Linked DNA regions of Alligator mississippiensis. The protein of the gene in region 1 purifies or fractionates together with the protein of each later gene. This does not show direct contact. Links are inferred from orthologs where the notes say so. Each region holds a gene or a part of one and is shown in the gene's direction. Other genes may lie near its edges. The genes, in order: ZFYVE16 and TOM1.

What was found.
Region 2: the proteins of ZFYVE16 (region 1) and TOM1 purify together in Homo sapiens (affinity purification with western blotting; 3 studies listed by BioGRID and IntAct, with this or other methods). This does not show direct contact. The link is inferred for Alligator mississippiensis from reciprocal best matches to the Homo sapiens genes ZFYVE16 and TOM1.

The regions. Positions count from the first base shown.
Region 1 is NC_081826.1:251,063,945-251,079,350, reverse strand, and holds the start of ZFYVE16 (zinc finger FYVE domain-containing protein 16), read left to right. Parts: upstream 1-8,700; 5' UTR 8,701-8,803; intron 8,804-15,406. Other genes in the region: CCDC125 (coiled-coil domain-containing protein 125), read left to right, coding at 183-316, 464-829.
Region 2 is NC_081827.1:101,665,064-101,679,785, reverse strand, and holds the start of TOM1 (target of Myb1 membrane trafficking protein), read left to right. Parts: upstream 1-7,143; 5' UTR 7,144-7,201; coding exon 7,202-7,253; intron 7,254-14,722. Other genes in the region: HMGXB4 (HMG domain-containing protein 4), read left to right, coding at 1,745-1,789.

The DNA.
Region 1 (15,406 bases):
ATTATTGCATCCAGTAAAGGAAATGATAATTTGAGTTGCACTTTATCTATGAAAAGGTGCAATATTTTGCTTTAGAGTATGTCTATAAACCTAAATTCAGCCTTTTTTTATCTTCTTATAAAAAAACAAACAAATAGTGTTCACATTCATGAATTTCAGGTGAAATTTACTCTTTTCCTTAGGACACATCACTTCACAAGGGAACAAGAAAAGTCTGGGACAAAAATTAGCAGGCATGCTCATTTCTGATGCAGACTGTAGGAAAATAGAAGAATTGCATAATCCTCATGAAGCACTTCGGGTGTTAGTAGATTTGGTTAGTATCATGAAGAGCATTCAAGGGGCATATTGGGCCTTGGCATTGCTCTCCTTAAATGAATGTAAATACTGTTGATATACATGCAGTGTTTTGTTCTTAATTTATAAACTTGTTTTCATTTTTCTTTTTTAAATTTTCACATAGCTGAATGATAAAGAGGAAGCTTTGGCTCATCAGAGGAAGGTTAGTTACATGCTGGCCCGTGCAATGGAATTAAAAGAGGAAACTTCAAAGCAAAGTAAAGAAAATAATCTTTCAGGAGAGAGCATAACTCAGAAGAACTGTCAATACAGCACCACAGAATCCCAAGAATCATCTCATTGTGCAAATTCTTGTTGCCAAAATCCCGGTTCTCAGAACAGCACTTGCTCAACTTACAATACAAAAGTATTTAAAAATTCATTGAAATCACTTAGAAAATCATATTCCTGGCCCCCTGGGACCATGTGTTGTAAAGAAAATGATGCACACAAAATGGGTAGAACTACAGATGTCGACTCTACATCTTAAATACACTTGGAATTTAAAAAGTAAAAGTAAAAGAAAAATGTTTGGTAATGCCAAGGGATAAGGAAACCTGCAGAAGCTGGATGTTATCCAGGAAGTGCCAAACATGTAAATGTTACATTTGTAATCAAAATCCCAGGAAAATCTGTTTTATAAGCTACATATATGCAATTATTTCAATGCTCAGGTTAAAGAAGTATGCTGCTTTAAAGTTTTAAAGCTCTTCTGATGCTGTTTTCATACTGTATAACGCTATAGATTGTTTGTGGCCTCTGTCCCTGTTAAAATGAAAGGTCAGGATCAGACATTTATGGCACACTTGGTCTATGAATTAATGGAAGTTGTTGTTTTTACCCTTTTTCATTCTTAATCGCGTGTTATATATGCTAAGAAGTTATATCAGGATTGGGAAAGAATCAAAATGTCTATATTGTCAATACAGAACTAGAAAATCCCAAGAGTCAACTGATTTTGTGCATTTGTGTTGCCAAAATCCTGGTCCAACAGTGACTCCAAAATGTGTGGAAAATCAAGAGCCACATCGTGTTATAGCTGCTAATGTCAGTTAATGAACTATAATAGTACATGTATTTCAGAATACTATATGTACAACACAGCTCCTCTGGAAAGAGGTTTTCAGATTTGAAATTCCAGTATATAGCTTTGTAGTTTCAGAGATTGTGTTGTATTATGAGTGAGTTAAACACATATTTACATTATGAGAGATTAATTTCCTGAGCCTATAGTTAAACAGGAACTGTTTACACACAGTCTAAAAGCTGCTTTAAAATTAGACTTCCTGGAAAATAACCTTCCAATTCCCAACTGATTTTTCTCATTGACTGAAAAAACCCGAAAACATTTAATTGTTTACTCCTAATATTTAGTATATTTATAATGCCTTTGGATGTTATGAATCCTTGATGCATTTGGATCATGTTAGTCACATAAAAACCTCTATTTCAATATATAACTTGTTGAATTCCAGGCAACGTGGCAGAATCATTTGTTTAACAATTACTGCTATTCATAGTGTTTTACTTACGGATTAATACTTGACTAGTTAAAAAGTTGGAAAACCAGAAAAATTTGCAGAACTGTTTATTTACTGACTAGTATTCAGTCCTTTGTATCCAGACCTATTCTGATGCAACTGAGGATGTATATGGCACACAGCGACTATTAAAGAGAACCAAGTAACTTTTTAGATTTTGTGTGTCTAAGCAATGGAAATATGGAATGAATAGTAGTTTCTGCTAAAGGGAAGCTCAGGATTAGTATTTAATGGTGCTGGAAGACCAGTGTGAAAACCAAATGTGTTTCCTTGAAGTCTTAAGAATTCTGCTGTTAATTAGAAGTGTGATTTAGGCCTAACTATATTAAGAACCTGACCAAATTCAAGCACAATGGGGTAGTATAGCTGGGGACCAACTTAATATCTGTTAAGTCCAAAACATGCTTAAGGTTCTCTTTTAGTGAAACATACTTAATAGTTTATTGCAGCCCCTTAGAAAAGTTAACATACCTGTGCAAGACACCTGTGCGTGTACTATTGTTGGCTCGTGCTGTTAAACATTGTTTTAGAGACACTGAATTTCGTCACAAATGAGATGATGTTGCTGGACCCTATCCTATTCCCCTCAAAGTCAGTGGTACAGCATGGTCCTACACTTTGATTAGGAGCTCTGGGTACTACCACCTTACAAGCAACAAATAATAGAGCTTAATCAGAAACTTCTTGCCAGTCATCAGGTTAGCATCTGATGAACTAGGTTGGTGCCCATGAAAGTTCATGCCTTTCTGAACTAGTTACTCTTTAAGGTGTCCCCTGCCTGACTTCAGACTAACACAGCTAACCAAATCTCTGGTCAGAAGCTTGTTTGAAACCAAGGTACTATTGATATTTTTTATAAATTGAACTTGAATTATTTAAAATGTTTATTTCTGTTAGACTACGTATATTTCCAGACTTGTGAAATCCTATTTGGCAATACAGTTTTATGTATCTGTGACTATGCTAAGCAGCTCTTTTATTCCAGTTCTATAATAAATTCCAGTAAACTTTGGTAATTCTTAAGAACAGATTCCCATGACACAAGCATCTTAAATTATACAATTTCTTGTTAGATCAGTCTGGTGAAATTATTTCTTCTCAACTTCATATTGTTGCTAGTCAAAACGTGGAAGGCAGCATCCATCTTTCTTAGCTTTTTGTATTTGTTTCAGCATCTTAATGGTTATTACATATAATTGTGAACTTTACAAAAAAAAAAATCTTATTTTTAGTTTTGAAAATGAAATTCTTTGTTAAACCAGACTGCTACTGTTGTAGCAGGATGAGCAATATATGCATGTGTGAGAGAGTGTCCTTGCACAGTAGTGGCCTACATTTCAAAGGTATTATGTGGACATCAGTGGAAGATTGAGTTGCTCAGTACCTCCTAAAGCGGGGTTATAAAATGTTTTAAGTTTTATTTTGAGCTTTGTTCATTTTTTTTGTCTTTTTTTGAATGGCCAGTTTATCAACTCAAATTTTTTGCACCCACTTTCCCCAACTTTTGATTCTGTACTGTCAGATTATGTTCTCTGACTGCCCCTTCCCTCCAACTAATGTGTTCCTAAAAATGGTTCCAGGAATACATGCATCCATCATTAGCATGTATTCATAATATGCATCCATAATAAATAAGAACAATCTGCTAATGACAGTCCATTAGTTATACAAAACTTTGAACAGTAGGTTTTGATCCTCCCCTCTCAGGAAATAGTTCTCAAAGGCAAAATTACTTGAGCTCTACTTCCAAGTTGCAGCTTCCTTAGTATATCTGATAATAAATGCTGTTTCTGGATTAATATTCCCTTGAGGTAAATTGGAGACATTGATGATGGGTAGGCTCTTAGCAACAGGTATTGGTTTACATTTAGACCCTGTTTGGAAGATTATCTTCATGGTAAAGACTATTTTTAATGGATGTTTAACTGCTGGGTTGTAATTCCAAATAACAGATTGGATTTTCCAGCAAATTATGTGGCCATGACACCAGAATACATGGAGTCCTGCCATTTATCTGAGGGGGGGAAATGTCAGTATGTTCAAGCTTATTTATTGAAGGAGCAGATGTGAGGTTTGCAAATGAAGTTCAGCATGTCATGAATATAGCTGTGGCAATAAGTGTAGAAAAAGAAACCTCATTTGTACCTGTGGCTTTCCTTGGGGTAGTATATTTAAAGGTATAAAACCAGTACTGTTCAACCTTTCCCTTTGCTTAATTAAGGGAATAGTGGAAGGAAGGGAATGTACATGCATCTTCTTTTCCAAGGCTTAGCTGAAAACTACTATAAAGTAAAAAACAAAAAAGATATATCTATTTTGATCTCTGAGTATGATAATCTTAAATGGACAACATGGAAGAAGCTATTGCATATGGTACTGATGTCAGTCTTGCTCGTGATGGAATGAATGGACAGCAATGGGAATTCTTACCATTCAAACACCATCTGCTCTAATGTATGATGTAACAATGGAAGGAGGCATGCCAGCCTCAAAAAGGGAGCAGCTTTGTTCATTTTTGGTGTCTTTAACTTTATCAACTATCAGCTTTTTTTGGCCAGTGTGGTCTATAACGTCACCAATTAAATCTAATATGCCTTCTGGCCAGGTCTCCCAGATGCCACATGCATGTGCGCAGCCACAGCATGTATGTGGCCAGGAGTGCAGCTAGGCAGTGTGGAGAGCAGCACCCTGCAGGCAAGTCTGTGGGGGCACGTGGGATGGAGGGGCAGATCGAGGCCCCCATGATGACAGAGGGAGTGGGGCAGGGGCTGGGGGCACTACCCAGTCAGGGCAGTGAATTGGGACCCTGGAACCAGGGTAGGGAGCAGGATGGAGCTGTGGGCGGGCACAGCTTTTGAAAGGAAATAATATTTAATTTGAAAGGAAATAATATTTAAGGAAATAATATTTGTCCAGAGGGCACGGAGGGTGAGAGAGAGGGACAGTTCCGTGCCACTGTGCGTAGCCCCCAAGGGAGGCATGGGGGGCATGTGCCCCCCTGGATTTGTGCATGGGTTGGAGGTGGGTTGCCCACTGCAGACTTGGGGCTCTCTACCCTGCTACCTTTGTCTTGGGAGCCGTGCGCTGGCTACGTGTCCCCTGTCCATCTGGCAGCAGTGGTGGCGGTGAGTTGTCCCTCTTGCTGCCAGGTGGGCAGGAGACCTCCTGCGTGGCTTCTGGGCCAAAGGCAGCAGGGTGGAGAGCCTCAAGCCCACAGTAGGCAACCCGCCTCTGCCCTTGCCCCGCTTGGATCTGCTCTGCTCCTAAAAAGTCGCCACACTTAAAAAATGGTAGTGGCAGCGCTTGAACTAAAGCTCATTTGACAAGCTTTAGTTCAAGTGTCCCCACTGCCATTTTTAAGCACCCAGACGCTGATCCCCTGGACAAGCTGCCTGCTGCTTTGTCCCACTCCCCCACCCAGGCCCCAGGTCCCATTCACCACCCTGGATGGGCACCCCCAGCCCTTGTCTCTACCCCACTCCCTTCCTCATTGTGGGGGTCTCAATCTCCCCCCACCAGACCCCTTCCCTCCCCTACACTCCTTTCCCTCCACAGACTTACCTGCAGGGAGCTGCTCTTCACGGTGCCTGGCTGTTCTCCTGGCTCATTGGCCAAGAAAATCTTTTATCAGTGCATCCCTAGCTTTTTCCTTCATTGAATCTGGAGACTGGTGTATACTTTGGATGTATTAATTCTATTCTTCCCTTGTGCTTCTGTCCCTCTTGTACATCTCTTTGTTTAATTCCATCTCTTTTCTTGCCATATTCCAAGTCGGAAGCTTCTTGGGGTAGGGATCACCCTATTTAGCCTGAGATTGATCTGTGATATGATGGTTTTATAAATCTAATTTGAAAGGAAATAACAATATTCAAGACAGCACAATTTAAAATACAGTTATTTCTGTTTGGTGTGTTTGATTTGGTTTCTATGGCAATAAGCCTTTCCAAGATTTAATTCTGTATGCTTATTGGTGTCTTTCTCACAAGCCTCTATGATCTTGTCTTCTTTCTTGTTCTCTGTCCCTTGAAATTGTACAATCCCTGCCTCTTGGAGCTTGCTTTTTTCTTTTTAAAAATCTCTCTTCAAAGTTGTATGCTGATATAAAAGTATACCATAAATCATAATGACATTGTTAGTTGTGCAAGTGTAGCTCTGGCCTTGGATCATTGTAAAGAAGATCTCGGAACAAATTCATTCTAAATGTACAGATTTAGGCTCCACAAGAGCATAGGCTGCAACCGGATGGCATTCAATTTCTTTTAATGATGTGAGCATATTTTCTTATTCTTGAAGAAACTGAGCTAATCATAGAATCAGAGAAAACTGGAGTTGGAAGGAACCTCATCTAATCCAGCTCCCTGTGGATGGCCCAAAGAAGGGCCATCCTCAACTAGATCATCCCAGCCCAGGTAGACAAAGAATTGGCTAGGAAGATACAGTTGGGGCTGGTCCTGCTTTGAGCAGGGGGTTGGACTAGATGACCTCCTGAGGTCCCTTCCAACCCTAATTTTATTCCATGATTCTATGACTAGCTCAGTTCCTACCTAAAGGGCTTTAAAAATAAGAAAATATGCTCATGTTGTAACAAGCTTGTAAGATGATGATTTTTAGTGTCATTTTTTAACTGAATCATTAGGAGGGATGCCCCTGTTCTTTGATTTAAAACCAGCATGGTAGACTGTCTCTGTCCTCTGTCTGTTATGGTAAATTTATGGGAAACTGCCTCTAACTGGACGAGCAAAGTGGGGAAAGGGACTATCCGCAAATTTTTTTTTTTAACTTTTTGTAGCTGCCTATCTTGAGACTCTGAGAAGTGATTGCTAGAATCATGGAAGTAGGGTTGGAAGGGACCTTGTAGATCTTCAGGTCTGACCCCCTGCCTGGGCAGGAGGAAAACTGGGCTCAATTGACCCCAGCCAGGTAGACATCAAGCCACTTCTTAAAGACCCCCAGGGTAGGAGCCAGCACCACTTCCCTTGGAAGTTGGTTCCAGATCCTAGCCACCCTAACTGGGAAGTAGTTCTTACGGATGTCTAATCTAAACCTACTCTCCAACAACTTGTGGCCGTTATTCATAGATTCCTTGTTATCCTGGGGGGCGCTAGGGGAAACAAGGTCTCCCCTAAACCCTTCTGGTCCCCCCTGAGACTGCTTTTCCAGCTACAGCTGAAATCGGGAGTTTTGCTTTGGTCGTAAGAAGTGCTATAAAAACATAAGTATGCTGATCTAAGGGCCCCTTGTTGTTCAGGTCAAGGCATGATAGGTTCTGATGTGCAATGCACACAATCATGCCTCCTGCTATGCTGTTCATTCTACTCTTCCCTTGTGATGCTGTCCCTCTTGCACATGTTTTTGTTTTAGTTTCATCTTTTTTTCTTGCCATTATTCTAAATTGGGTGCGGCAGGAAGTGTGATTGTGGGGTCCAGCATTGGATCCTATCGCCTTAATGCTGGTGCAGTCGTGCTCAGTCAGGGCTCAGGTCATGGCAGGACTCCCATCTGTGCGGCACCTGGTGCCCTTGGTCAGTGTTTCTCAACCCATGGGTCATGACCCCAAACTGGGTCATAGTAATATATGAAAGGGTAGCAAACAAGCTTTTAAAATGGATTCTCCTTTAAAGGAGAAAAACATGGGGAAACTGTGGGTTTCCCCTTGCAGGCTGGCAGAACTTCAGGGTGTGAGGGGCTGCGTAGGGGCCCCCAGCCCTACACACTGGGGGGTTGGGGCAGCGGGTAGGAAGTGAGGGCACAAAGTTGGGACTGGCCACCCATGTTTGCAAAGGGGTCTTGGTACAAAAAAGATTGAGAACCACTACACTAGGCAGCTGAGGGCTGCCCTGTCAGCTGATGAGACTCGCAGCCTCAGACCCTGACGTGCAAATTAAACCATGTAGTAACCAGCTATAAATGTACAGGCAGACCTCAACTTATGTTTTGTTACAATGTTTCGCACTTACAACATTTATAAATTGACACTTGTTTCAACTTTCTGACATCAGTTTCAACTTCACAATGCTTGATCTGATGCGATGCCACACCAACGAACAAGTTTGCGGTGTCACCCGTGTCCCTGGAAGACTTCTGTCCAAACTTCCTTGGACACTTTCTTTAAGAAAGCAGCCAAGACTCCTGAGGAGGCTCCAGCCAAGAGCCCTTCAAAAAGTCCAGCAAAGTCACCTCAACCCAGTCCTTCCAAATCACTAGGATTCCTATTTACAATATAAATACATTAATGTAGCTGTGTTACTCATCCATAATATTGTTTCCTATGGAAAAAAAGGTTCCCAGTTGCAAGGTTTGAGTTAACGTGCACGTTTCAGGATCCCATTGTGTCCTTAAGTCCGAGGACTGCCTGTATTGCATATTTTCCAGCTGTAACTTTATAACTTTTGATGGCTTGATAATTGCTTTGTTGAATGAGCCACTTAATTGCATCATGCATGCAAGACGTAGAGAGGGGGCTTAAGATGTCACTTCAGCGCAGGGGGTGGAAAATGCCCAGTCAGTAAGGCGTCAGCCCGCCTGGAGGGGCAGGGGCAAGCCCCAGCCCGCGCGTGTTGCCGCCGGTACGACACGAACGTTTGGAGCCGCGGCCGGAGCCCCTGAGCTGCGACCTAAGGCGGCGCCAGCGGCGCCGCGCCCCGCCCCGCCCCGCAGTGAGAGCAGCGCACCCACCCCTCCGGGCCCGAGGGCGGCTGGGGGAGGAGCCCGCCTCACGCCCCGCCCCCTCCCGTCTCGGGGCTGCCACGGCTGAGCAGTCGAGAGGTCCCTGTCTGCCGAGGAGCGTCGGGACGACGCATGCGTGCGGGGAGCTCCGCCCCGCTCTCGCGCCCCGCCCCCCCCCCAGCCCCGGGAACGCAAACAACCGGCCGGGCCGAGCCAGGCTAGGCCTTGCGAGCCGCGTCGGGCTGAGCGGAGCAGAGGTAGGAAGGCTCGGCTGCTTCTGGCACGGGGCCGTGGGTGCTGCCGGCCGCCTTCGCGGGGCCCCGGGCTCCTCGCCTCCTGGGCGGGCGACCGTCCCTGCGCTCCGGCCGTGTCTCGCCCCTAGAGGGGGCCGCGGGAGGGCAGGAGGGACCTAGCGGTGACGGGGCTTAGCCTGGGGGGGCCCTGCAGAGAGGGGCTGGGTCGTCCCTGGGGCCCTGGGCGATGCCTGTTGTCGACCTGGGTGGGTGTGGGCGTGGGCTCCATCTCAGTTTGCTCCTTCAAGTGCAGCAGGCGAAGAGCTGGGCTCTGCTCCCCCTGCCTGAGCTCTTGTGAGCTTGTTTGGTGCCCTGCATCCTCTGCAGGAGTCCCTTGGCAATGAGCATAGGAAGGCCTTCCCTGGGGTGCCCTGCCTTGGAGCTAGTGCCAAGATGCCACTCGCCAGCACCTTCTTCTGGAAGAGCAGTTACTGCAGCTGAACAGGGCTTGGACAGCGTGTTACCGTTGCCCCGAGGCTTGGGTCGCTTGCAAGTTTTCTAGTGTGAATCTGGTAAGATGGGACTCCATCCTCCTGCAGATCGTGAGAGATGGGCCCCTGCAATTGCAAGGAAATGCTTGTCTGCCCTAGCATAAGGAGTCGGTTAGCTCTCAAAATTGTTTAAGTAATCGTTCTCCTGTGACTTGTTTTCCAAGGCTGAGTAATACAGACTGATGCAAAGAGGAATATGAGAGTGAGGTCTAAAAGGCTTAATTGTTCTGTCCGTCAGATGGATTCTGTGCATGCTGGGCTGGCTATTGATGGTGCAGCTGTGCCACTGTTGCCCTGGAATGGTAGCATTGAAAACCCATCATCTGTCATTCAGACAAGGTTCCTTGGGTGAATTTGATATCTTTTATTAGACCAACCCAAATAGTTGGAGAATAGTTATTAAGCAAGCTTTCGGGTTCAAAAACCCTTTGTCAGGCTAAGGAAGTTCCAGCAGTTGGTGTGTGCTCTTCCTGGATGAAATGACAAGTAAAGAAGCCAGGGGCTGGGCTGGGGAGTCAGTTGCCAGGCAGATTGTAATGTATCAAAAATCCAATGTCTATATTTAGTCCATGATCTCTAGTACCCAGGAGGTTGATGAAATGGAGCTCATAGGCTCGTCTCTGGGAAGTGTTGTGTAAGTTTCCCTTGAGGATCAGGACTGAGAGATTGGAGAGAGAGTGGCCCTCCTGTGAGAAATGTGCCCCCACCGGTAATTGGGTATTTCCGTCTTTGATAGATTTCCGGTGTGCGTTCCTTCTGGTGTGGAGTTGTTGTTTGGTCTCTCCTACATATTTTCCATCAGGGCACTGGGTGCATTGGATGAGGTATATTACATTTCTGGAGGTGCAGCTGTAAGATGCAGGGATGCTGATGGCTCTGTTGTGGGGTGTAGTAATAGTGGGGGTGGTGGAGATGTGTTGGCAGGTTTTGCATTTCCTATCATGGCACAGTCTGGATCCTTTTGGTGTGTTCTGGGCTTGAGGAAGTTTGCTTCTGGTGATGAGGTTGGCGAGGCTCAGTGCTTGTTTGAAGGCTAGGATGGGTGGCTCTGGGAAGATCTTTTTAAGAATAGGGTCTCTGTCTAGTATGGGTTGCAGTTGTTTGAGGATTTTCCATACAGGTTCAAGGGAGGGGTGATATGTCATAAGCAGTGGTGTGCGATTTGGGGGGGGGTTTCTTCTGTACTGCAGCCGTTCTTCACATGGTATCCAGGTGGCTCTTTCAAACGTGCGATCTACCTCTCTGGAGGAGTGTCCTTGCTGGGTGAAAGCCTTTTTAAGATTGGTGAGGTGGCAATCCCGGGTGTTCTCTTCAGTGCAAATGCGGTGGTATCTGAGGGCTTGGCTGTATATCACAGCTTTTTTGGTGCGTTTAGGGTGATTGCTGGTTCTTTGCAGATATGTATGTTGGTCTGTGGGTTTCTTGTATACTGTGGTCTGTATTTTACCCTTCTGGATACTGATCATTGTGTCTAAAAAGGAGATGTTGGTGCTGGAGTATTCTAAAGAAAGTCGGATGGAGGGATGGTAATTGTTGAATTTCTGAGGGAACTCAATCGGAGATTGCAGGTTTTCAGTCCAAATGATGAAGATGTCATTGATGCATCTTAAGTATAGCAAGGGTTTGATGGTGCAGTTCTTGAGGAAGTCTTCTTCCAGGTGGCTCATAAAAAGGTTGGCATACTGTGGGGCCATTTTAGTGCCCATAGCTGTTCCCATCATCTGAAGGAAGTGTTGATTATTAAAAGTGAAATTATTGTGTGTGAGGATGAAGTGTATAAGGTCAGTAATATCTTTGGGTCTGTATTCTGAGTTGTAATCTTGTTCCTGTAGATATGTAAGGCAGGCTTGGATGCCATCCTGGTGTAAGATGTTGGTATATAGGCTGGTAACGTCCATGGTGGCTAGGAGTGTGTTGCTGGGAAGGTGGCCTATGTTTTTAAGTTTCCGTAGAAAGTCTGTAGTGTCTTGTACAAAGCTTACTCTGTGGGTGACGGGCGGTTTTAGGATTGATTCAACGAAACCTAATATTTCCTCAGTTAAGGTCCCATGGTTGGATATGATAGGTCTGCCAGGGTTCCCTTGTTTGTGGATTTTAGGGAGCATGTAAAAAGTCCCCGGGTTAGGTAGTGGGGGGATCAAGGTCTGTAGTTTTTCTTGTAGTCTTGATGGAAATGATCTGATGGTATTGTTGAGTTTTTTGGTGAAAAGGGGAGTAGGATCTTCTTGTAGTTCTTTGTACTAAGTGGTGTCAGAGAGCTGTCTGTTGGCTTCCTTTATGTAATCCTCACAGTTTAGGATGACTATGGCTCCTCCTTTATCTGCTGGTTTTATTACTATTTGGTGGTTAGATCTTAGAGATTCTATGGCCTTTTTCTCTGGTAGAGAGAGGTTGTTGTGGTGACGTGTGTTGCTGATTATTTCATTGTTCATTCTTTCCCTGAAGCAGTCAATGTAGCGGTCAAGGTTAGGGTTTCGTCCACTGCGAGGTTTCCAATCTGATGTTTTTTTGGGGCTTTTTGACATTGATCCTTTCCTGAATGTTGTCAGAGGATGAGTTGTTGTTGGGAGTGGGTTCAGTTTGGTTGTGGAAATATTCTTTGAGTCGCAGGTGTCGGAAGAATTCTAGTTCTCCACATTGAAGTATTTTATTAGGGTATTTTTCTGGACAGAAATTTAGGCCTTTAGAAAGGACAGATATTTCAATTTTGGTAAGCGTGTGTGTGGAGAGATTGATAATATTTGTGGGTGGGTTGCTGCTTTCAGTTTCATTGAGTCTGAGGTTGGAATGTTGTAAGGTGTTGGTGTTGTTCCTCTGGTTGTTTTGTGGCTGGGGAGCTTGTTCTTGGAGTAATTTGTTCCATTTCTTCTTTTTATGTAGGATGAATGCTGTAGAAAGTTTTTTGTAGTCTCTTCGTATCCACTGTATATTGTCAGGGAACATGCATGGATTTCTGTCTTTTAAGTTGTTGTAGTATATGGTGATTTCCTTCCTGAGTTGGTCTCTTCTGGAGTAGAGTAGATGAAGTAGATGATTCCTAATTTTCTCTGAAGTTCTTTTGCATAGCTGTGAAGCATATTTGGAGTTGTGTATAGTAGTCAGGGGATTGTAGATGTTTTGTCCTCACGGAATGAAGTTGTGTTTCTTGCAAAGGCTTAGAAAATATATATCGCTGTTGAGTTTGTCTTCTTTCTTTTTCATGTTGTACAGTTTCCATTTCAGACGGCTGAATTCAATATCTTCCATGTTGCAGGGGTTTAGGTTGTAGCTGTGTTGGTCTAAGGACATAGGCAGACAAGGTTCCTTGGGTGAATTTGATATCTTTTATTAGACCAACCCAAATAGTTGGAGAATAGTTATTAAGCAAGCTTTCGGGTTCAAAAACCCTTCGTCAGGCTAAGGAAGTTTCAGCAGTTGGTGTGTGCTCTTCATGGATGGAATGACAAGTAAAGAAGCCAGGGACTGGGCTGGGGTGTCAGTTGCCAGGCAGATTATAATGTATCAAAAATCCAATGTCCATGTTTTAGTCCATGATCTCTAGTATCCAGCAGGTTGATGAAATGGAGCTCATAGGCTCGTCTCTGGGAAGTGTTGTGTAAGTTTCCCTTGAGGATCAGGACTTCTTCCCCATTGCATGGCTCTCTTGGTACCCTAATCCTGTGAAAAGTCTAAACTACTGGGAGTGAAGGAAACCTGTTTAATATGTCCTTACACCTCAGAAAATTTTTCTGGTAAAATAAGTGGGCCAAGCAAGGATGACTGGCCTTTATCTCAGATACAACTTTACAGTTGGAGTTCTCTTTGTTGTGTTGTTTGAAGTCGTGTCGGTAGTAATGGTATGCTGTGGTTGGGGTATGGACACATGCGTTTTCCATGCAATATACTGCAGACAACACCAGATATTTTTTCCTGCTTGCCAAAGCACTTTTGAAAACATGGCTCAAATCCTGGATATGCTATGGAATCCTTGAAAGGCTCTTCTCGAAACTCTGGATTGCTACCTCTGCCCATCTACTTCAAAAAATAAAATCATTTAGAACTTAAAGTTGCTGTAGCTCTTTCAAATTAACGTATAGGACAATTTATAGCATATAAATGGTGGCTGCAGTCCTGTATGCACAGTACATGCTGATAATGTTTCCTCAAACGAAAGCTTGAACTTTAGCAAAATGTTTGCTTTTATTTCTTTATACAGCCTTTTTGTTTTTTGAAATGTAAAATCTTGTTTCAGGAGGAGTTTCTTGATGCTTAGCTTTGTCACATGACTTGACTGAGGCTCACTTTATTGTACACACTACAACTTTCTACTTTTTGAGCTTTTTTTGATTCTTATCTTGGTTGAAGGGAAAAAGTCACTTGATCATCTTTTCAAATTGTGCTAAACTCTGTTAAGTGATTTATACCATCTAAAGGCCAACTTAAACTTTTTTCTATGAAATACTTTGTACAAACTATTGTATCTTCACTTACTTCCTGGTCATTGTATAGTACTAGCTGACTTTGAAATTAAATGTTGCTTGATGATTTTTTTTTCTTTGCTACAAAAACACTTGAGTAAGTTAGTAAACGAAGAGCCAGTTCTAAATTAATAAATTATGTAAAAACTTTGAGACAGTCTAAAGTTTTATGATAGGTTTGTTTTAAAGTAGATCAAATGATGACTTGGAAAGGTGATACACACTTGTAGTAAGTTTTCCTGTAACACATTAACGAGCAGCATTCTTCTTGTTCATTTGCCTATGCTGGGCACTCCCATTTACAAAATTTAATGGATTGATAACTGAAAGAAAGCTCTTGATAACAATTGCACAGAAATCCTTGGGGTCAGTTTCCCACCCCTACCCCCTTTCTTCTCAGTAAAATACTTGCTTCTCTCTGGTTAATTGCTAGCTAAAGACAACTAAGCGCTAAGTCATTGTGAGCAAGATTTATGTGTATTTATCCACTTCTTGAAGTTACACTTTGCTATACATCCAGGCAGAAAAAACAGCTGATGGCAAAGCATTATCTGATTGTTAACTGTTGATATGTTGGGGTCCAGGATCAGGGCCTTGTTGTATTGGGCCTTGGGCAAATGCAGATGTTATATCATAGCCAAGTGGTGTACTGCACCCCACTGCTGGGAATTTAAAGCTGTCTCTTTTACAGATCCTTGCTTCTCATTAAGCATGAGTTCAGTGGTTTTCAGAGCTGCCTGCTGTAACTGCTTGACTGAATTTGGGGCAGATAGTATATTAGAGACATAAGTGGCTCAGAGAGTTATAAGGTTTCATAGAAGGCAGTCTTGATCTTCAGGAACCTTATACCTCAGTGATCCAGTAAAATCTGTAAGGTGCTACTCTTGTCCCGTCTTCTGCCTGACTTCAGTCTAATGCAGCTAACTGCTCCTCTGTACTTATGCTTGACTGAGCACACTTCCCATTGTGGACTGATCTTTTAAAAACAAACTTTCACAGAGTACTGTTCTTGTAATTGACCCATAAGCTGTGGAAGAAGTGGGTTTTTTTTTACTATTAGTAGGCATTTCATCTTTTGCTTTTGCGTAACTTCCAAGATTTCAGCCAATAAACTTTTTAAGGTCGTTTTTCTGAAGTGGGAGCATAGTTATTGATGGTATAAGAATGTAAGTGTCATAATGGGCCAGACCAATGCTTCATCTAGCCCAGTATCTTGTCTCTAACTGAGGTAGGTAGGGGATACTTTAGAGGGGAGTACACATGAACAGGTTCTATCTAGAGTGATCTTATCCCTGTCATAGCCCCCTTACTCTTTTGTTTACTATCTATTAATGGATCTGTCATCTATGAATTTATTGAGTCCCTTTGAATCTGACTGTACTATCTGCCTCTACAAGCTTTCAGTGAGGGATCTTGTTGAAAGTTTTGAAAAATCCAAATATATTGTGTCACCTGGATCCCCCTTGTCCACATACTTGTTAACATCCTCAAATAACTTGAATGGTTTGGTGAGGCAGGATTTCCCTTTACAAAACCCATGCTGACTCTTCCCCAGCATGTCATATTTTTCCATGTAGGATCATAGAAAATCAAGGTTGGAAGGGACCTCAGTAGGTCAC
Region 2 (14,722 bases), on another chromosome or scaffold:
CCATCTATAGCCGGGTGCTAGCTGCATGTTCTCTCCTGCATGCCGGAAACACATTTGCTATTGAACCCTCATTTGGGAACAGACATCCTGCAGCTCCGGTATAGTGTGAATCCAAGTGAAAAAACAGAACATATTACATTAGCAGACAGGGCGATTTAAAAGACCACATTAGGAGGAGACATGAATAAAAAGGAGGACTGAAAGAAGAATGAAAAATGAAGTCACAAGAAGCAAAATGTGTAGAACAAAGCAAAGGGAAATCATGTCTGATTCAAGAGAAAAGAATAGCAATACAAATGTGAAGAAAGCAGTGGATGTGACATGAACAGGCATGTTTTACAAAGGTTCTGCCATGAAGTCCCATGCTGGCTATTGGCATATCTTCTAATAAACTGAGTCACCTGAGTACTCCTGCCTGCTCAAGTTATGACTACTTTACTACTGGGCATTTTTTCTTGTACTGCTTTCCCTTGCCCAAAGCATTATGAGCTCTGACACCCTTCTAGCATCATTAATGCAGTGTATGACTTGACAGCTTGATCCTCTTATTTCTGTAAAGAGTTAGGGAGTGTTAGATGAGGTAGTGCTAATTTTTCACTTCTGGAGCTTGGAGAACTTCTCTGATATTAGCAGACTAATTTTAATATCAAGAATTCATCTACATCTGTAACTCTCTTGTCCCCAAAGCAGGCTAGATGTGTCTGTGCTTGTGGTGCAGTTTACCTTTTCAGTTAATAGGTGGTGCTGCTAAATTGTAGGATCAATCAAGAAACTGGCAAAGAATCCATTTCCTCTGTCTTTGAGTATGAACTTTGGGAGTGCAGCACACCAGGAATCAGACCTTAGTTGTATGGTCTTCACTGAGGCACAGGGGACTGTATTGTCCTTCAAACTTCCACCTGATTTGTATGGAAACTCTAGGAACACAGAGAAACTCTCTCTCCCACCTTACATCTGAAACGGATTATGGTGGTTTACTTGTTCTGTTTAGCTTAACACATTGCAAATTCTAGCAAAGGTTTTGTATGTGCGTTTGGGACTTCGTTGGTATCCCTTCCATCACCTTAATTGGATCCCTTATCGCTGTTTTCCCTCTGGATAATATGGTTTGGATATGGATTTCTTCTGAGTTTCTTCACACTAGTTCTAGGACCAGTTACATAGGGTAAGAGAGGCAGTTAAGAACAACAGGAAGTGTTCCCTTAATTCTAGATGCCCCTGTTGTGCTCCCAGGCATTGAGATTGCAAGCAGACTGAGCAGTAGACAGAGTATTTCCATGGCTGCTGGTTAGCCTAGAGCAGGGGTTCCCAACCTTTTTATGCTGAGGACCAGCAAACTGTGAACCATAAGTGACCAGCATACTGCAGGCAGGCAGCCAACCCTTTTTTATACTGAATACTGTACTGAATACAGTATAAAAAAGGGTTGGCTGCCAGGCCACAGTATGCAGGTCATGTCCAGTCGGCAGTTTGCTGGTCTGTAGTCACTTCCAGTCTGGCAGCCAGCCCACCTGCAGACTGGCAGCCGACCCTTCATGGCCCAGCACCAGGTTGCGACCCGGGGGTTGGGAACCCCTGGCCTAGAGTGCTGGTGACTTCTGACTTGGGTTGGTCTCGTCATGTAGGAGCTTGTATGACAAGGCGGGGATTTCTCCAGTCTATTGTGTTATATTAAAGCCTTGTTTCTGTAGCTTTTTGAGTCAGAGCCCATTTTTAAAAAGAATATTACATGTTCTCTTCCCAGTCAAACACACTCGACAACATCGCCTACATCATGCCTGGACTTTGACAGAAGAGGACCCTGGGATGTACACACCTCTGTGTAACTGACCTGTGTACATACACGTTATACCGGCACTCTAAGGGCTCCGTGTGTAGGGTTTTAAAGTTTTATATTTGTATAGTATATACATAGGATTGTAACTATTTTACTTTTATTAATTTTATGAAAAGTTGTGAAGTATAAGCTGAGAGAATCCTTTCCAATTTGGTGGGAGTGACCTGCTCAATGCATTCTCCAATCTAAAGGCGTTTGTGTGATTAGACGTCAGAAAGCTTTTGATATATCAGCCTTAAATTCAAAGAAACCTTTTATTTGGAATTGGCCTGGGAACTGACTGTTTATCCATGATGGATAGACAAGCTAGTTTATTTTGGACCAAGCAGTAGCACTTGACACATCACCAGCCCTGTTTCTAACACTTTTTCAGTCTGTGAGAGAAAACAGGATGCCTGTTGAAATCCTGAGGTTACCACCTCTGGTCACCTCTCCTCTCCACTCTTCTTTCCCATCCCCCCAAGCCAGTCACAAGTGACTGAAAGTTTTTCTTGTCAATTGGCTGGTAGCTTGCATTAAAGTAGTCCTGGAGATGGCAAGGAGTCTGGACTCTTCCAGTGGGCATGCATCTACATTGCCATTAGCTCAAGATTGCATCCTCAGCAGAGGGCCAAAGATTGAATTTGGGATTATGGAAGATTGAACCTCCCTTGAATTCCTCCAGAGGAGGGCTAGCCCACTCTGGCAAGGAAGAAGCAGTTAGAGGAGGAAAAAGCTTGCACTGCCCCTGTCCGTGTACTGGTTTTATGAGTAGAAAACTTTTAGTTTCTAAGATTGCTGATCCCATCCCTTTCACCAGCAGTATTATGAAGAGGCATGGAATCCTCTTGGTGCTGCTGTATTCTCCAGAGGAAGTAATTAATGCTAAAGATTGAAGGAGTTATTGCTGGGTTTGGCACAGATGGGTTCATTGGACAGATCCCTGCTCCCCACAGCCACATGTTGGCATTCCAAGCTCCTGCTCCTCCAATGTGAGTTGCAGGAAAGCACTTGATTCTCACATAGGCTTGTGTGTATGTGTGCGTGGTGTCCATATTGTGTATTTAACTTTTACCAATATCTGTAATAGATTTTAATTTATCCTGTATATTTCTGTGTATATAGATATAATTTAAAAACAAAAGTCCTTCCCTCCACCAAGTGTGTGGAAAATATGAATCAGCTGTGCCCATCCCTAGTTCCTGCAGGAATAAGCTGCATCTGTTATGGCAAAGCTAGGCTCTGCAAGGGGGAATAGCAGCCAACAAAACTTTGAGCCCTTGTGGCCAACAGGGTGTCCAGTGATGTTGGGTGGAAGCTGAAATGGGAAGCCTTTTATTTTGGCTTTGGCCTCGCCCTCCATTATAACATTACAGATGTTAAAGTAGCAGAATCAGAGCACTTCTGTGCTGTTACAAATTGTGCTTTCTCTCTTTTCCAGGGCAGCTGAAAATGAGCTGTTCCTCATTATTGCTGAGACCTAAATCTATTTCATTTTAAAGCCAATCTTCAGGTGCCTGGAAGGGGCTTCCTGCCAGTTTCCTTCCCAGCTACTGTCTCTTGCAGAGCTTCCCCTTTTCCCAGTTCAGTGTTGCTTTTATTTGTCTATCAGAAGGGCTGGTTTGGTGGATGGAACAGGACTCTTTCAGAACCTCAGTATAAGGCAGAAATCTCTCACCCAGATATGGCTAATTTGAAGCAGAATTTGAGGGAGCTTGGAGATATGGGAAAGTCTGTCTGGCTTCTGGATCTGGACATTTACCATGGTTCTTGCAAGTGGCATAAAATGCTTGGCTCCATTTCCAGCTCTCCACAAGAGATGGAGTATTGTATCAAAGAAAAAGATTTGCAGATCTCTATCTAAGGAACAGAAGGGGATCAGCTTTAGCTTTACCATCTGTATAACAGTAAACTCTTGAAGAGTTTAGAAACACACACACAACCCTAATGTATTGTATTTTTATTTAAAATTTGTACACATTTGTATAATCTGTATCTTGTGGTATTTGGTACTAGAGGGAAAAACTTTGGACTGAGAACTAGCAGTTTTTATATTTTTGTTATTTTCCTGCCATTTGATCCAGATTGCATTACAATTGTATAAAGAAACTTTTTGTACTGTACTTACAATATAATTTTTTTTAACATTTGGAGTTTTGTGTCATTTATTTTTTTGCTTGGTATTTGTAATTTGCTGGTTGTCACTTCCCTCACTACTCTAGCTGTCCTAGCATTTCGTTTTATGGAATGAAATGTCTCTGGTATTTGAAATCTAGACCCATCCTGTGGTTCTTGGCTGGGTACTTCAGTGTCTTATTTCTAATGAAAGGCTGCTTGAAATACAACTTGGAGATTACTGAGTTGTACCATTTAGCAGCCTCAGTAAAAGACCTGCATGACTACAGAGGGTTGTCACTTAAATGCCCTAGTACCAGGTTATCTGCCTGCCCCTCTCCTTGTTTACCATTCAGTGAATGGCAGGCAAAATGATACAAGTGTTTCAGGATCCCTCAGCAATGGCAGGATCACATCTTGTAATACTCTTTCAAAACACCCTATTTTCAAGAGCAGAGAGACTCAGTTATAGGCTCAAAACTTCTGTGTAGCAATGTCCCAATATATGATGATCATGCAAAATGTGATTCCTCACCAACTCAAGTTGCACTTTTTGTAAGGAGACATTTCAACACAAGTTCAAAGGAAAATAACGTTATAACCAGGAAACACCTACCCACAACCATTTCAACACATTTAAGCAGTAGTTTTCCTGGAATTCTTCATTGTAAGGACTACAGACTTTCAGGCCCCATTTCAGGCTCACCTCATGCAACATGCTTGTTTACTACTTAGACATGGTATCAGCTTATTTGAAACCATGGAAGTGGGGGTCTTAGGCTTGCTAGTGCAGTCGCCATTGCAAAAATGGTAGCTTTTCCATTGCTTTTTCAGCTGTCCCTATCCCCACTATTGTGACCACAACAGAGCTAACAAGCCAGGCTAATCACAGAGGCAGAAGAACCAGTGTTCAGTCCATCTTACAGAGGCTGCAGCGTGAGCTAACACAATCTGCACAAATGGAAGCAATGTGGAATTGGACTTTGCCATTTGGAGTAGGCAGCTTTGTCAAAATGAGGATTGGTACTTGGTAATGGCCTTGGTGCTCTTAACAGACCTATTACATGTGCAACATTACAGCAAGGGGCACATTTTCTGGAAGTTCTTACTGGTGTTGTTGCAACTTGCAGTATTTCTCCTATGGAAGAATTGCTAGAGAGAGAGGGTTTTTTTTGTCCCTGGTCCCTTCCTGCCAAGGATTCGCAAGTAGAGGTGACAACTGGTACTGCTAAGGAGGTGTGGTGGTGGGGGATGGTACTACCAATAATGTGGGCCATGGTGGGAAGGGGTGTAAAGGCCATATCCTCTCTTGCCTGAGATTTCCCAGTGGCCAGAGAAAAGGCTATGATGACACATTGAAGGCACACCCTAAGCAAATAGATGCTGACATCAAGAGCCCCAGCTGACTGTCAACTGGAGCTGACTGTCAACTGACTCCTCAGCCTCAACCAAGCACTAGTCTGTTTCGATGGAAGAGAGGGAGTGGGGGAAGGAAAAGGAGGAGAGGAATCCTAGCCTGCAGCCTCCTCTCAGCTGCTGAAAGGCCTGCGCTGACTGTAGTTGACTCTGTGGCTCAAGGACCAGACTCTGCAAGCAGCTTGGGCTCCACAGTAGAGGCCTGCCCAGAGCTGGGGCCAGCTGAACAAAATGGCTTTGCGTGCTGTGCTCTGGCACGTGCTGGGGGTTGCAAACTGCTAGACTAGATGATCTCTTAAGATCCTTTTCAGCTTTACTTCTCTCTGCCATCTGTCTCCTGGGAACAGTGTTACCAGGTCTTAAATATGAAAATATTGTATTGGAAGCTCAAAATGATTGTATTTTCAGAAAAACTGTCATACACTGAAAAAATTTAAGTATACAACTAAGTAACATCATGTTGCCTTATACCAGGGGCAAGCGGTTATTTTGGGCAGAGGGCCACTTACTGAGTTTTGGCAGGCAATCGAGGGCTGCATGACAGGCAGCCTAGGGCAGATTAATATTAATTTTCTAAATTTTTTAGGGGCCCCACGGGTTGGATAGAATGGCCTGGCAGGCCACATCTGGCTCCCGGGCCGCATTTTGCCCACTCCTGCCTTATACTGGTATCATTGCATCCTGCACTGCACTTGACACTATGACATTTTGTTTAACTCTTTCTCCAACTGGTTAAACTGAATTGATTGCTATGATTAGTCTTTTCTCTCTGTTTTGTGTTTCAGGTCTATGTATTGTAAATTGTTCTGCAGTTACTTCATATTGCTCACTGGAAGTCCCCAGTGAGTGAGAACTGGGTCATCAAAATTGAAGTTTTGAGGCAAGCAGGCATAAGCAATTGCTGAGCATGAACCCAGAAGTTGGTTAAGATTCCCTGAGAGCAGGGTTGCCAACAGTTTGGATCTATTCTGGGAGGCTTTTGGAACACCAACATGCCCACAACACAACACGCATTTGCCCGCATGCTTGTGTATGTCAGTTATGGATTACAGTGTGTAGATTTTACATCAGGAAGGCAAATGCACATGACTAGTACATTTTAAAATCCCACTGTATAAATTGGATTCAACACTTTAACGAATGCCCTATCATTTATCTCCTGGGTGACTCTCAGCAGTCTCCTGGAGATTCGTGTCCAATTCCTGGGGACTCCAGAGCAATCCTGGAGGGTTGGCAACCCTACCGGAGAGTGACTTGCGTTTTATAGATGCTGCATCAATTAACTGCATCAAAAGCTATTGCACATTTTGTCAGGTATCCCAGTCGTAGCCCTATTGGTCTAGAGGCAAAAGGAATCAAAACTCGTGGAAGAGGTGGTATCTTTTATTAGGCCAACTAGATATGTGCAAATAAATACATTTTGAACACTTTTAGCCATGCAGGATGCGTAGGGGTGCATATGCACCCCCTGAGATTGGGTGCTCACCATGCCCCCCAGCCCTCTGGGCTAGCCAGTCAGGGCCGCCCCCTGCAGGCTGCCATCTGTTGCCAGGCCCACTAAGGGAGCCTGCAGAGCGTAAGGAAATGTCCCCCCTCCCCCGCCCCATCAGGCCCCTCCCTGTCCATACAGGGAGCCGGGAAGTGCCACGCGCCTGTGACGTCACGGCAGGCGCAGTGGCGTCACCACTCCGCTTAAGGCGAGCGGAGAACGTACTCAACCGGGGTCTCGCCCTCCAGCCAATCACAAGCGGCCGCCGCTGACGTCACAGGTGGCCGGGCCCTCAGCTCCACCCCGCGACGCTCACGTGACGGGCGCTGGCGGTCAGCTGACTGCCGAGGTGCGCGGCGGCCGCGATGGAGTTTCTCCTGGGAAACCCGTTCAGCTCCCCCGTGGGGCAGCGCATCGGTGAGTGTGGCCCCCAAGCCCCCCCCCCCCCCACGACGTCCTTGACATTTGGACTCGTCCACTAGCCGGCCCGACCCCGACCCCGCCCCCTCCCCCAGAAAGTGACCGCGCTAGCCGCCGAGTAGGTGCGTGGTAGGGGGAGTGGGGTGGGACTTACTCCCTCTTTAAGGCGGGGTTGACGCGACTTCAGCCAATGGGGAAGTGACGGTGCTTTGATTGACGGCGCTCTGCCACCAATAGGGAGGGGCCAGAGACGTGGAACCGTGGCGGCCGCCCTCCCAGCTAATCCCTACGCGAGGGGGTCGCGGGCGGCGGAGAAAGTTTCCCGCATTAAAGGTGCCGCGACCTGAGCCCCGCCCCCTGCGGGCAGGCGGGGCAGTAATTGCCTGCTTGACATCCGTCCCTCCCCCTGGCTTTCTTTGGCCAGAAGCTGCTCCCTGATTGGCTGGGGAGGCATGGGGTGTCCCTGGAGGAAGGGAGGTGGGGTGGGTACCCTTGGGTGCAGGCTGCACCTCGCTCTCAGTATGGAGCAGGGCCCTGCACTCTTGCTTCTAGGTTTTAGGCTACCCCCAAGGCATTGGCTTCTTGCAGATCCAGAACCAGCTGCTGGGCGCAGAGGTGGGTGGCGTATCCATTGCCTGGCATTGGAGCAGTGCCATGTATCCCCCCAGCCCTGGCAACAGAAACCCTTCCCCAGAGCGCTGTCTCCCCTGCTAGTGCCCCCTGCCTCCAGCAGCTCCTCACAGAGTTACCCCTTAGGCAGGGAAGCTTCTGCAAAACCCAGGGAAATCGGGCCAGACTGGACATGTGTCCGTCGTGTCATCGGTTTGGCACAGATCAGCGTTATAATGCAGATGCCATGGCCCTGCGCTGCACAGCTTCTGGCCAGGATTGATTTCTGCTACCAGCGCTAGGCACCTGCCTCAGCTTTTTGCAGGATTGGGGGTTTGTTTTATTGCAGGGTGGATTTACCACCATGTTGGGTTTTTTTAGGAAGATGACCCCTCATTATCCCCTGCCCCATGAAGGCTGTAGTAAGGCAGGGAGTCAGAGCTACCAGTTAAGCCCAAAAACGTGGAGGGAGCATGATTGGGCCTAATCCGAGACCTTGCACAACTTTAGAGAACAACGTTCCCTGTCGTCATATTAGTCATTTAACCTGAGAGAAGAGCGGGGAGGTACTGCTCTAAAGAGAAGGGGCACAAAGAAACTGTAGACAAGAATGGAAAATTGTTTTGGAGCTGAAATACAAAAAAGGGTAGGAGAGACGGGGCAGGGAGCGGGGTGCTCCCAGGAAGTTTTAAAAGGGGTTAGGTACTATTTTCTCCTATGGTTCTCTATGTATGGTCTTTCTACATATCGTGTGTGTGTGTGTGAAATAGGAATTAGGTTTTCAGAGACTTTGTCTTTCTGACAGCTGCCTTGATTGCTGGTCCTCTCTCTCTCTCTCAGCCTTTCTGTTCCACAGTGTTTTGGGTCAGATTGCCTCTTGCAGACATTGACTGTCTGAAGCCACTGGATAACTGAACCAACGACAAGCAGAGTGCATGTTCATCACAGAAATCGTCGACCGGCAGCCTCTCCTGTACACATGGACCACCTGTGTTCCTTTCCCCATAGAGCATTTGTGTACATTCCTCCTTTACAGCTGTTCCCCACCAGCCCTTTTCTCTCTTCTCTTCTCTTCTCTTCTCTTCTCTTCTCTTCTCTTCTCGGCTTTCCCCAGTGACCAAAACCCTCTGTTACCCATCTTCCTAACCAACCAAAAGTTTCCAGTGGGCTTCCTAGTCCTGCCTTGCCATGACGTTCTGTCCTAATCAGCTTCTTACTCAGACCTCATTACTGTAATATCTGAATGCCATCTAGTAGCAACATGACTAACATTAGTCATAGGTTTGGTCTCATCCTCTCCCAGTGGGGGAGAAGTCTGTGCTGTGAAGCATATTTGGAACTGTGCACATGTCCCCAGGCATGCACTCATATTGCTAGTGTTGAGCACCCAGGCAGTTGTCATGTTTTTACACCTCAAAAGTGTTGTTCTCCCTGCCCCCACATTCATTTTTTTGTGAGTGCGACTCATTTCAAAGAGACCAAAGAATGACACAAGCTATATTAATAGAGCAGTGCTGGACACTGGGAGGATGGGCAGCAGCTGGGCATGCAGCTTGCAACCCATTAATGTGGGGGGAAAGGATCAGTTTGGCTTAATCGTATAAGGGCATGTTCCTTCAGGGATGAAAAGGTGTGTGTGATTTTTATTTTTGTATTTGTTTCATCCATGCAGACAGGCTCTGTTTAGTGGAGGAGCGTTCTCACAGATGCTTCTAGTGTAAATGGCCGTTGCTTCCTGGAGTGAATGGAATTTGGTCTGGTTTGCTTTTTTTACTCGCTTCTAGATGCTGGTGGTTTCCACTCCCTTCCCTACCCCTAGATATTTTGATCAGAAGAGTACCCAGATTGTAAGCAGCTTCTCTCTGCTCATGATGGAAAAAACGGTTTGCAGCTGACCGCCAGCAACAAAGGGGAAGAGGTCAGAGTAGTCAGGGCTGGTAACGGAAGAATCGGAGAGGAGAGCCCAGTGTTGGCAGTGCCTTGCATGCGTCAGATGGAGAAGAAGGGTTATGAGAGCCCACAAGAGTGGAAGCCTCGTAGACAGTAAGGAAGAAGGTGGGCTGCACCTGGTTGTGAGTTATCAGAAGTGATGGGGATACAGCAAGGAACCATTCATGGGAGTGCTTTCCCTCTTTGGAGTTCTGCCTAGCAAAATTCTTGTGACAAGAATAAATATTATTAACCTCACCTGACAGATGAGTGGACCCAAGGCACAGAGAGTGGCTTCCCCAGAGTCTCATGGCAGATCAGTGCTCTGGATACAGACCCCAACTCCACAGTGGAGCCCCAAAGTCTTGACCAATTTAAAGCCACGGTTTCAGGCTGTCTGCAGCCTCTGAAGGCTAATCATGCAATTTCCTAAAGGGCAACATGAATGAAGTGTGTCAATGTGTCTCCATGATTTACAAAGTTATAAAACACCTTGAGAAGAAAGATATTTTTTAGTTTATAACACAAATGGTTTGCATGCATGGGGTGCCTGCATCTGAAAATATTTATCAGCTTTCCAGATTTTGTTCCAAGTCCCCCTTGAGGTAGGAAATTTGAAGTCAGAAAATAGTAGTGTCCTCTTTATTTTGCAATCAGAGAAACAGGGGTGATGGGAAACTTAATGATTTGCCCTGTGTCTCCGAGTGAGTTGGTTGCTGAGAGCTGGATTCTCTTGTCTTCTGATCTTATAATTTAATCACAGGATCAACCTCTGTCTTGTAATATCCCACAGGCTTTTCCCAGTCAACCTGGTTAGAACTTTTTTTTTTTTCTAATGAAAGTTTGCCCAGGAAAAGAACGTCCAAATCCCCAGAAAAAACACTCAGACTATAAACTGTATGGATTTTCTGTATGTCAGAGAGGATTTCTGGGCTCTCCATCAAACGCTATGTAGTTCTTGGACAAAGTTGGTTGGCACCCATAGGCGAGTTAGTCTCTAAGGTGCCACCCTGCCCTGCCTTCTGTCTAATAACTACAAGAAATCCTACTGTGGAGAAACACATTAATACAAGGAAGGAAGCTTTCCATGGGTTGCAAGTCCCAGAAGCCTGAGAGTAAGGGGTAGGGAATCATTGATACTGTCCAGCCCTGGGCCCTGACACTTGGAGCTTAGAGAAAATTACCACATCCGTGCAGAGGGTGGGGTAGGAAAGGTCTGCTATTGATAATGGAGAGGATAAGGAGAATAGGGATAGAAGTGAGGAAGCAGAGAAGAGTCTGTTTTTCAGGGAAAACTAAGGGAAAGGGGATGGCAATGGCCAGAGAAGCTTTGGGGCCCACTGCTGTGGTGTGCAGAAGGGAGCCAATAAAAATAAAACATGCCTAAGCCCCTGCAAGGAATATAAGGAAAAAAGGGAAGATGATGCACTATTTCCCTAACCCACCACCTCATAGTCCCTTCATCCTGGCTCTGTGGGATTGGAGTTTCAGGAGTGGGAAGGCTGAAGAAGCAGAGAGCTGCCCCTTCCTCCTTGACACTTCAATGCTGATGCTGCTGAGATAAGTGTTAACAGTTCCTTTATGACCGCACCTCCACGCGCACCCCCTGAGGAGAGAGGTCAGAGAGCAGGAGCTGTCTGAGGAGACATGTGCTTCCTAAAAAGCTACACTGCCTGATGGGAGGAGACCATAGGCAGAAATGCAAGGGACAAATCTCTGCTGTATTCAAGCAACGTGTCTGTGGATGCTCAGCCTTGCATTGTGTCCTCAACCCTTTCTGTAAAATGGAAACCTTTCCCATTATGCAGCTCACGTCTGAACTGTGGAGTCCTGCCTGTGCCTGTGTGTCCTCTCCCACAGTCCGCCACCAGAGGAGAGGGTGTGGGCAGGGACTGCAAGGTACAAAAGAAGGTGGGAAGAACTTGGATTCGGGTGCTGTGTCTCTGGTGCTGCTTTCTCGTGGATCTCCAAAGTCGTGATTCCATGAAAAGCAGCTCACTCCAAACTCAGAGGAAAGCATGCGGGAATAGTGTGCCCTTGCTACTTTGCAAAGCTGTTCAAAACTGGCAAGGATAAAGCACTATAGGGAATGCTGGCAGAGGGCGTGGACTAGATCACAGGATAAAGTGTAAGGAGGAGGTAGTAGACTCTAACCTGCTAACCGACGGTTTCTGAGATGAGAAGTTCCTGGAGGCTGACTGGCTGGAGGGGGATGCGAACAGATTTCATAGATTTCGTAGACGGTAGGGCTGGAAGGGACCTCGGAAGATCATCGGGTCCAGCCCCCTGCCCCAGGGGCAGGAAGTCAGCTGTGGTCAAAGGATCCCAGCAAGATAAGTGTCAAACAGGGTTGGTTTTATTTTGTGGGGGTAAAGTGAGGAGGCGAGGCAGATGTCACAGAGGGTGCTTGGTGCCTTCTATCTCAAGTTCCTCAATTTCCCTGCCACCTTTACTGTATGCCACAGGATTGGCTGGATGGCATCATAAATCCGTCAACAAGCCCTCCCCAACTATGGAGATGAGACAATAGGCTGGGAAAGGAAGAAAGGTCAGATTCTATCATAGTATGAACTGGGTCAACTCCATTGTACCACTCATCCCAGGTCTGGCATTAGCTCCCAAGCTTTAGAACAGGACTGGCTTTGATAACTTAGCCAGATTAAGTAGGATCATTCCAAACTCCAGCTGAAAGGAATATTCTTTGTTAACATCATCCTTGGCACCGACTGCCGTTTGATGTAGAAAGACTAAAGAGGACAAGTTGGGAGCATGCCAGAGCCTTAGACATCTGGACTAACCTGACTGGCCTGTAAAGCAATCCAGCTTCACAGCGTTTGGTAGCGTAAGATGAACCCCAACATTGCCACACCCGGGACACGGGCTTGCTGCCAAAATAAAGCGGTGCTGAAGTTTCTGCAGGGCAGACATGCTGTCAGCTCACCGTGTTCAGCAGCCTGTCAGGTTTGTGTGCACCAGTGACCCCTACGTGAGAAATAATCAGTGGCCAGTTGCATTCCAGCTCTTGCAACTCCTGTTTTTAAAAACTTGCTGCTGTTGTGCTCAGTGGCTGGGCTCCCGGGGATCATGTTGCATGAGCTGTGGACAGCTCATGTGCTAATTACAGCTTCTGAAGCAGGGCCTGGCATACTGATCCATCACGTGACCAATAAGTAGACTTTGTTTTTCCCCGAAGCTCCAACTGAAGGGTAAAGAGGAGGATTTCCTTTCTCAGGAAGGACTCCAGCTTCTCTTATTAATCTTGGGTAGTGCCGTGCTGCAGAGAAGCATTAGAAGGGAGTTAACTCCAGCTTTCCCTTAGGCCTTTTTAAAATCAGCTGGTCCAGCCCTTCACCTGTATAGCCTTCTAGTGCTTTGTCACAGTTGCAGTCATATTGTCTGTGTGTCTGGTTGCTGCCTCTTTGCTCTCAGACTTTTGCTTTCTTCCATGTTATGGTTGTATAAGGGCGACGCTGTAGTTGTGATGGTCCTTGCCTCTCACTTCATTTCTGGATCATCACGGCTACATCACTCTTGCACTGCTCAGAGTTTTGAGCATCCCTTGATCTTTTTTTGTCAAGCTTTTCACCTTCCAAAGCATATCATCAGCTGCTGTTGGACAGGGTGCCAGAATCAGTGGCCTGTTGCTTAATTGTAGGGAAGCCAGTTGTGTCCATACTGGTTGCTTGCTTGGAGTCCTCTCTTCCTTGTAAGTGAGCAGCTGGGCTAGAGGAGCATGTGGGGCTGGTTTGCATTTCTTCCTGAAAAGTAAACGCCATCCAGACCTTGAAAGCTTGTCTGTGCAGGACAAGCAGTGCTACAAGTCACCCTATGAAATCTGGCTCGGGAAGGTGGGGGCACAGTGTCTGGGGATCCTGGTCAGGGTTGTTGAGGAAGGATATTGAAGGGAGAGGCTTGGAGGAACTCTTGAACTGAAAGGAAGGCTTCATGGTTAGGAGCAGCTTTCCCTCCACCCCACTGTCCCATTTCTCTTGCTGCCAAGGATTCTCCAGCAGCCCCTTCCACCTGTGATCTGTTGCATTTGTGGGGAGGACAAAACAGGCTAGTCTTGCCCAAGGTCTTTCCAGCGTAGCAAGGGCAGTATGACTTGTGCCCTTCAATGCAGAAGGTGACACATTGCAGTGGAACTTCTGATGACGTTGGCATTTGTGCTGGGTTGGTAGTGGGCAGGATGTGCTGACTGGCGTATTAGAGGAGACAGTAAGGAGGATGTCCTAAGGAACCATTTGTTTATGATTCATTCCTGAAGGGGTAAAAGATCACTTGACCTTCCAAGGAGCCTTCAGGGGGCTGCACAGAGCCTCGGTACAGCAGATTAGCCAGAACTTTGAAAACCACAGTTGCTACCATGGTTTTCTGTGGCCTCTTGTTCCCTGTTCTGCCTGCCTCCATCTTGTGCTGGCAGCCCAGCTGAATCCATGGGTACCCACTTTTTGCCCAGTCAAGAGGGGCATATTGAGGCCCAAAGGCTGCATTAAACATCAGCATGCAGCTGACCTGATTTTTGGAGTGTGGGTATGAACAAATTTGCCTTTTGGTAGCTTAGAGCAGTGGCCTCCTTCCCCTTTGAAGCATGTATCACCTGTTTGGATCTGACTTAAGTCTGCATAATCCTGTAGTGAGCCAAGATTGTTAGGTCTGTCTATACCCTATGCTAGAAAATGACCTGCCTGGGTTTATCATTTCCATGAGAAGTATATCTGTATGAAAGGTGAAGGTAGCAATGAGCTGGACTGCTGAGTGTGCAGTGGATTGCACTTTGCCCTCCCCTGAGATAGTAGTACTGTATCCCAACATGCAGGGAACTGTGTAAGGTAGGAATAGTTTCAGACAACCCTAGAGCTAAAGTTGTCCCTAATCCATCTCTCTTTCCTCTTGTCTTTTCCCATTCCATCACCAGTAGGCAGGGC